Linked DNA regions of Astyanax mexicanus. The protein of the gene in region 1 interacts with the protein of each later gene in a pairwise test. Links are inferred from orthologs where the notes say so. Each region holds a gene or a part of one and is shown in the gene's direction. Other genes may lie near its edges.

What was found.
Region 2: the proteins of zmym2 (region 1) and foxp1b come close enough for resonance energy transfer, tested with the Homo sapiens proteins (2 studies listed by BioGRID). The link is inferred for Astyanax mexicanus from reciprocal best matches to the Homo sapiens genes ZMYM2 and FOXP1.

What each region holds. Positions count from the first base shown.
Region 1 is NC_064418.1:25,236,183-25,240,103, forward strand, and holds the start of zmym2 (zinc finger MYM-type protein 2), read left to right. Parts: upstream 1-1,633; 5' UTR 1,634-1,959; coding exon 1,960-1,995; intron 1,996-3,039; coding exon 3,040-3,898; intron 3,899-3,921. UniProt on the Homo sapiens protein: Involved in the negative regulation of transcription.
Region 2 is NC_064412.1:2,036,609-2,040,529, forward strand, and holds the start of foxp1b (forkhead box protein P1-B), read left to right. Parts: upstream 1-1,240; 5' UTR 1,241-1,334; intron 1,335-3,921. UniProt on the Homo sapiens protein: Transcriptional repressor. Can act with CTBP1 to synergistically repress transcription but CTPBP1 is not essential. Plays an important role in the specification and differentiation of lung epithelium.

The sequences.
Region 1 (3,921 bases):
TTTGAATCTCCTCTGAAGAGTGGCATCATGGGCTCATCAAAATAACTCTCAAATGATCTAAAAACAAAGATTGTTCAACATAGTTGTTCAGGGGAAGGATACAAAAAGTTGTCTCAGAGATTTAACGTGTCAGTTTCCACTGTGAGGAAGATAGTGAGGAAATGGAAGACCACAGGGACAGTTCTTGTTAAGCCCAAAAGTGGCAGGCCAAGAAAAATATCAGAAAGGCAGAGAAGAAGAATGGTGAGAACAGTCAAGGACAATCCACTATGTATGGGAGAGTGATTCGAAAGAAGCCATTTCTGCAAGCATGCCACAAACAGAGTCGCCTGAGGTATGCAAATGCAAAAGCACACCTCAGGCGACTCTGTTTGTGGCGTGCTTGCAGAAATGGCTTCTTTCGCATCACTCTCCCATACAGCTTCTCCTTGTGCAAAGTGCGCTGCATTGTTGACTGATGCACAATGACACCATCTGCAGCAAGATGATGCTGCAGCTGTTTGGATATGGTCTGTGGATTGTCCTTGACTGTTCTCACCATTCTTCTTCTCTGCCTTTCTGATATTTTTCTTGGCCTGCCACTTCTGGGCTTAACAAGAAATGTCCCTGTGGTCTTCCATTTCCTTAATATGTTCCTTACAGTGGAAACTGACAGGTTAAATCTCTGAGACAACTTTTTGTATCCTTCCCTTTGTATCCTACCTTTTCTCATGATTGGATACACCTGGCTATGAAGTTCAAAGCTCTGAGGTTACCAAACCAATTTTGTGCTTCAGTAAGTCAGAAAAAATAGGAGTATTCAAATCAATAAAAGGATAAGGGTGCCCATACTTTTGCAAATTTTGGTTTAGTGCATATTGCACATTTTCTGTTGGTACAATAAACCTCATTTCAATCCTGAAATATTACTGTGTCCATCAGTTATTAGAGATATCAAACTGAAATGGCTGTTGCAAACACCCAAATATATAGAACTAAAAATGATTAATAGGGGTGCCCAAACTTTTTCATATGACTGTATATACACTTAACTTGGCAAAAGGAGTGGGACACCTGCTCATTCGTTTCTTCCCAAATCAAGGGCATTAGTTTTATTCTAATTATATTGAAGTAACCGTCTTTGCTGTTTGTTGAAGACATTCTGCTAGATTTTAGAGCATTGTTGCGGATTTGATTCACAGACGAGAGCATTTATCTGATCACAATGTTGGATAATAACCACCACACCTCATCCACAATACTATCCAGAAATATAGTATGGAACACCGTAATTGCAAAAAATACAGTTCCACTGCTCCACAGCTTAATACTAGGGGACTTTATACCCCTCTGCCCCACACCTGGCATTAGGCATGGTGCCAGTAGTGTCATGTTCATCTGCCATGTTCATCTGTTCATCTGACTATGCTTCTCTACAGCACCTAGACAAAACTAAGTGTACATTTGTACATCTGTGTCCGTAATGAGTGCAAATTATTGCATCTGTATGCATGCAGTAAAATTGCTGTCCATAAATATTTGAACAGGCATGTTTAGAATTTGCACTGAAGACAGCCCTGATATGATGAGAAAAGTATACTGTGTATCACAATAAAATTCATGCTGTGAGAGAAGCATAACATGGATGTGTATGGCATTAAGAAGTGAGCTTTGTTGTTTTTGTCCATATAATCTGGTAGCACACAATACAGTAGCTTTACTGTTTAGGAGATCACTGGTTGGTTCCTTGATTTTTGATAGCGTCAGTACTGATTGTATTGTCCTGTTTTGGGGACATCCATGATGACATTTTACGTAATAATATAGCAGCAGGCCTTGGATACAGTGAGCATCAGTTTCTTTGTTCATTAGCTTTTGATATATATGTATGTATGCATGTATGTAAGGGGTTGTTTAATCTCTCTGGCAACATATTAAACAAAAGCTGCACCTGCATTGCACAGTGTTTCTTTTGGGCAGATGGCCACTGCAATGCATGAACTCATGCTGCTTCAGGTAATGTTCGAATTAAACATCCAAATGCAAAAAAAAAAAAGCGTTGCTTAATTGTTGGTTTTAGATGGGCAGGTTGAGGATTTCTGTAACTGCTGATATAGGATTTTTCACCACAACATTAAAGAAACTCAGATAACCTCCATCTGATGCAGAAAAACATGAGTGCACATCAAACCATGATGGGTTCCATTTCTTTTAGCTTAGGACAGAAAGCTGTGAGTGCATGATGACCAAAGCTGGACAGTTGAAGATCTAATTTTCCTTTGGTGCACACCAAACAGAGCAACAAAGTGCTCATTAAAAATATGGCAAGTTTTTTTTAGGTGGACCAAAATTTTACAGTAATGGTTCCAATATCGTATGCAGTGTGACACTTTTCTCATAAACAAATTTAGACTCACTAAACAGTAGACGTTGTGGGAAGCTCTTGGCATCACAGCAAACCCAGTATTCTGTCATTCAAATATCAGCAAGTATTCCAGTTCAGGGAAACATTTAACACATTTAAAGCCTGCCAAGGCCAGCGGTTAGTTTCACTGCTAAACCACACTGACTTGTCTGGTAGCATCATGGCTTCAACCGGCTGACTCCGGCTGCTATCATGGTGACTTACCTGAAGTTCTAGGTTTTAAAATGCTTGTTCACCCAGCTGAGTGCGATTGAATCAAACAAAAGTAAACCTTTTCAAGATAAGAGTCCTAATAATAAAGGAGATCCAGGTTTTTATGATGTGTATATTTTTGAAATGAAGTACATTTAATTTAAGTTATTGCACGGCACTGCTGTTAGTTTATTTCTTTCAAAGCCGAGCAGAAAGCACAAGAACACTAGACTTCCGTAGCCTGGCAGTGTCAGTGTGTGATGTATACCACAGGAGATATTGGATATATTGAATGATATTATATCAACTAAACAAAATAAACATATCATGATAAACATTTTGGCAATATTGTCCAGCCCTAGGTAGGGTTCGGGCATTGCTTTACTATTTAATAAGCATATGTGAGCTATTTCTCTTCTCTTTCCTGACATCGCTGTCAACAGGTGGTTGAAGTGATGGATGGAGACTTGGAGCCTGTGGCAGATGGGGAGGAGGTCTCGATTCAGGAGGAGGAGCCCATGGAAGCCACACCTGCAACGGATCTTTCCTCAGATGGGCAGCATCAAGGTGAAGCTGGTGCCATGACAACAGACCTGCCCAAAGCTCCAGAGGATAATGATGATGATGTTGTGCTAGTAGAGGGGCCTCCTGCTCTCTCTCAGGGGGGAACACAGCCGCCAACCCCCTCAGACTCCCCCACACCTGTCGAGGCCCTCGATGCTGCCAAAACCACAGACTGTGTGGAGTCAGCTACCACAGCAACAGCATCCTCCGAAGCACCCACTCCTCCCACCTCTGCAGCTGCTGCTGCCTCTGCGGCAGCCGTAACCACAACGCTCCAAAGCCAGAGTGAACCTATTGTTATAGACGATGAGGAAGATTCTGAACACAGAGGATCATCGTCTTCCTCACTGGCAGTCGGTCCGGCCAGGAATGCCTTGAGCAGCACTGAACCAGACTCAGAAATCAAAATTGCCAGCGTTACCACGTTAGGAGGGACGTCAGACGTTGCCATTTCAACGTCAGCGGAAACATCCGAAACTCAGAGTGCCCAAGAGGATATGAACCTTAAAATCACAAGTGTGACATCATTGACTGGGGACAGTGGACCAGGTTCTGCCGTGGAGGAGGTAGAGGCAGCAGAAAACGGGTTACAGATCAGCAGTGCGTTCAGCTTGAACCCAGAAGCCCAGCAGAGCCAAGGATCTGCCGGTAGACCTTCACCCACTTTCAACCCAGGACGTGTTAGCTCAGCTTCCCAGCCTGTTCAAAATGGAGAGACGGGAAATCACCAGAGATCTGGTAATGCTGCTGCATTTTTCTCA
Region 2 (3,921 bases), on another chromosome or scaffold:
CGATGCAGGAGGGGTGAGGGTGGAGGAAGCAATGCTGTAGGAGGTGATGCAGGATGGGTGAGGGTGGAGGAGGCGATACTGGAGGGGTGAGGGTGGAGGAAACGATGCTGTAGGAGGTGATGCAGGAGGGGTGAGGGTGGAGGAGGTGATGCTGTAGGGGTGAAGGGTGTGGGTGGAGGAGGCGATGCTAGAGGAGGTGATGCAGGAGGAGGCGATGCTGGAGGGGTGAGGGTGGATGGGTGAGGGTGGAGGAGGTGATGCTGTAGGAGGCGATGCAGGATGGGTGTGGGTGGAGGAGGCGATGCTAGAGGAGGTGATGCAGGAGGAGGCGATGCTGGAGGGGTGAGGGTGGAGGAGGCGATGCTGGAGGGGTGAGGGTGGAGGGGTGAGGGTGGAGGAGGCGATGCTGGAGGGGTGAGGGTGGTATATATTTTCTCATTGTTAAGTAAATTGCTATCTCATTATTTTGAAATACAAAGTCTGCAAAAATCATTGTCAAAGAATCACTTAGTATCTCAAAATTATGATCTCATTATTTTGAGAATCTAAGATATTATTTTGAAATAACAGGTCAATCATTTATAATGCTGTCTCAATTCTTTTTAGATAATAATGGACTGTTTGAAGATGTATTTTGCTAATATAGTATCTCAAAATTATGAGAGATCGCATTAAGTCATTCATTTATGATGCTATCTCATCATTTTGAGACACTAGCTCATAATTTTGACATTTTGAGATAACTCAATATTTTCAGATGCTATCTCATTATGTTGAGAAGCTATCTCATTTTTTATATTTAGTATCTCAGAACAATGGTTTAGTACATGAAAGTGGAAGTAATTCATGTTTATTAAATGTCACATTATTTTAATATTTTGAGATAATATCTCAGAATTTATGTTTGTATCTCAGAGAAATGGTTTAGTAGATGTTATCAGATGTAATGAAGGTTTATTAGATGTTATCAGGAGCTGCTAATGTTTATACAGCAGGTGGATGTGACGTCAGTCAGACTTCGCAGCAGCAGCAGAATGGAGAAATAACTAAATATAAATCCGCTGCTTTATTTCTCTCTATCACTCTCTATCTCTCTGTTTTATCTCAGGGCGCTGAGAGAGAGAGAGGGGAGCGGTAAATCCGCCGGTTCGGTACCGCGGGGAGACCCGGAGTTCCGCAGACCCCGGTTAGTTAGTCCCTCCGCGCGGAGTGATACCGCCGCGCACTTTACAGCGTGCTCCGCCAGCGCACGCGCTCCTGCTGCAGAAGAAGTGCCGATAGTTGATATTATTACTACTACTAACTCCTGCGTCTCCTCCGCGCGCGCTGCTGCGGTAAGTTCAAACAGATACATTGTTTCTACTTTCTTTTATCTCTCTTTTTATGTGTAACGCGCGCGCGGCTCCGCTGTCCCGTCGCTCCGCGAGCGCCCCGCTGCTGTACCTGCGCTCGCGCGCTGTTTCTAAGGTGAGGAGGAAACTAGACAAGTAAACAAACAAACAAACAAACACACAAACACGCGTGCGCGCGCCAGGACGCGAGTTCCTTCTTTTAGCGCAGGAACGAGATAACTGTCCGCTTTAAACAGATAAAACTGCACGAGTTCAGTCCCGCGAGACTCTGACTGATTCTGCCGTCTGATCCACAAGTTACCCGCTCAGATCAAAGTAGCGAACCGCTGCTAAACAAAGTTACAGAGACACATTGTAACCATGCATGAAGCACAACACACACTCTCAGTGCACGCTCTACTAGTTACTGTGCAGGTAAATCAACCCCACGCGCACTGCTGGCAGCAGCCGTTTGCACGTGCAACTAGTAACTTGTAACATGTAACATCTAGCTTGTGTGTAACGCTGTTCTTGTGTTTGTAAAGTTTGCTGAGTTTGTGAAGGAGATGTAAACTGTGTGGCACCTATGAGTGGTGGCTTTGGCTACATATGTGTAACGTGTAACACTGCCCTTAAGTGTGTGAAGTTTGTAAAGGAGGTGTAACACTGCCCTTAAGTTTGTAAGTTTAAGTTGGTAAAGGATGTGTAGCATATGTGTTGTAGCTTTGGCTACATACATGTAAAGTTTGTAAAGGAGGTGTAAACTGTTACAGATAACACTGCCCTTAAGTTCGTAAAGTTTGTTGAGTTTGTAAAGCAGGTGTAGACTGTGTGTTGTGGCTTTGGCTACATATGTGTAAAGTGTAACACTACCCTTAATTTTGTAATAAATGTGTAGACTGTTACATGTAACACTGCCCTTAAGTTTGAAAAGTTTGTTGCGTTTGGAAAGCAGGTGTAGACTATGTGTAACGTGCAACACTGCCCTTAAGTTTGTAAGTTTAAGTTTGTTAAGAAGGTGTAGCCTGTGTGTGGTGGCTTTGGCTACATATGTGTAACGTGTAACACTGCCCTTAAGTGTGTAAAGTTTGTAGAGGAGGTGTAACACTTCCCTTAAGTTTGTAAGTTTAAGTTTGTAAAGGACGTGTAGCATATGTGTTGTTGCTATGGCTAAATATGTGTATAAGAAGGTGTAGCCTGTGTGTGGTGGCTTTGGCTACATATGTGTAAAGTGTAACACTACCCTTAAGTTTGTCAAGTGTGTTAAGTTTGTAAAGGAGGTGTAGCTTGTTACATGTAACACTGCCCTTAAGTTTAAATTGGTAAAGGAGGTGTAGCCTGTGTGTTGTGGCTTTGGCTACATGTGTGTAAAGTGTAATGTAACACTACCCTTAAGTTTGTAAAGAAGGTGTAGACTGTTATATGTAACACTGCCCTTAAGTTTGTAAATTTGTTGAGTTTGTAAAGTAGGTGTAGTCTATGTGTAACGTGTAACACTGCCCTTAAGTTTGTGAAGTGTGTTAAGTTTGTAAAGGAGGTGTAGATTGTTACATGTAACACTGCCCTTAAGTTTAAGGTGGTAAAAGAGGTGTAGCCTGTGTGTAACAAATAATACTGCACATAAGTTTGTAAAATTTGTTGAGTTTGTAAAGGAGTTGTAGCCCATGTGTGGTACTTACAAGTGGTGGCTTTAGCTACATATGTGTAAAGTGTAACACTGCCTTAAGTTTTTGAAGTTTGTAAAGGTGTAGACTGTGTAACGGGTAACTCTGCCTTTAAGTTTGCATGTGCAATGTGTAACATGTAACACTGCCCATAACTTTGTAAAGTTTGGAAAGGAAGTGGAGCCTGTTGTGTTACATGTAACACTTCACTTAAGTTTGTAAAGTTTGTTGAGTTTGTAAAGGAGGGGTGTGTGGTGTCTGACTACATGTGTGTAAAGTGTAGCACCGCACTTACTTTTATTTTGTAAAGGAGACGTAGCCTGTGTGTTATGTGTAACGCTGCCCTTGAGTTGGCACGTGTAACATGTAACACTGCCCATAAGTTTGTAAAGTTTGGAAAGGTGTAGACTATGTTATGTGGAACACTGTTCTTAGGTTTGCAAGGTTTGTTGAGTTTGTAAAGAAGGTGTAGCCTATGTGTTGTATGGAGGTGTAGTCTGTGTTTTACGTATATTACTGCCTTTATGTTTAAAGGAGGTGTAGCCTGTGTGTAACCTGTAACCATTAATTTTGTAAGTTTGTAAAGGAGATGTAACCTCTGTGTTGCATGTAACAATGTCTTAAGTTTGTAAAGTTTAAGTTTGTTGAGTTTGTGAAAACTTGTAAACATTTGTAAAGTTTGTAAAGGAGGTGAAGCCTATGTGTTGTGTTTAACACTGTCCTTAAGTTTGTAAAGTTTGTAAAGGAAGTGGAGCCTATGTGTTGTGTTTAACACTGCCCTTAAGTTTGTAAAGTTTAAGTTGGTAAAGGAGGTGTATTACTTAAGATACTTAAGTAAGTGGTGGCTTTGAGTACATATGTGTTATATGCAATGCTTCCTTTAAGTTTTTAAGGTTGTAAAGCAGTTGTAGCCTGTGTGTTACCTG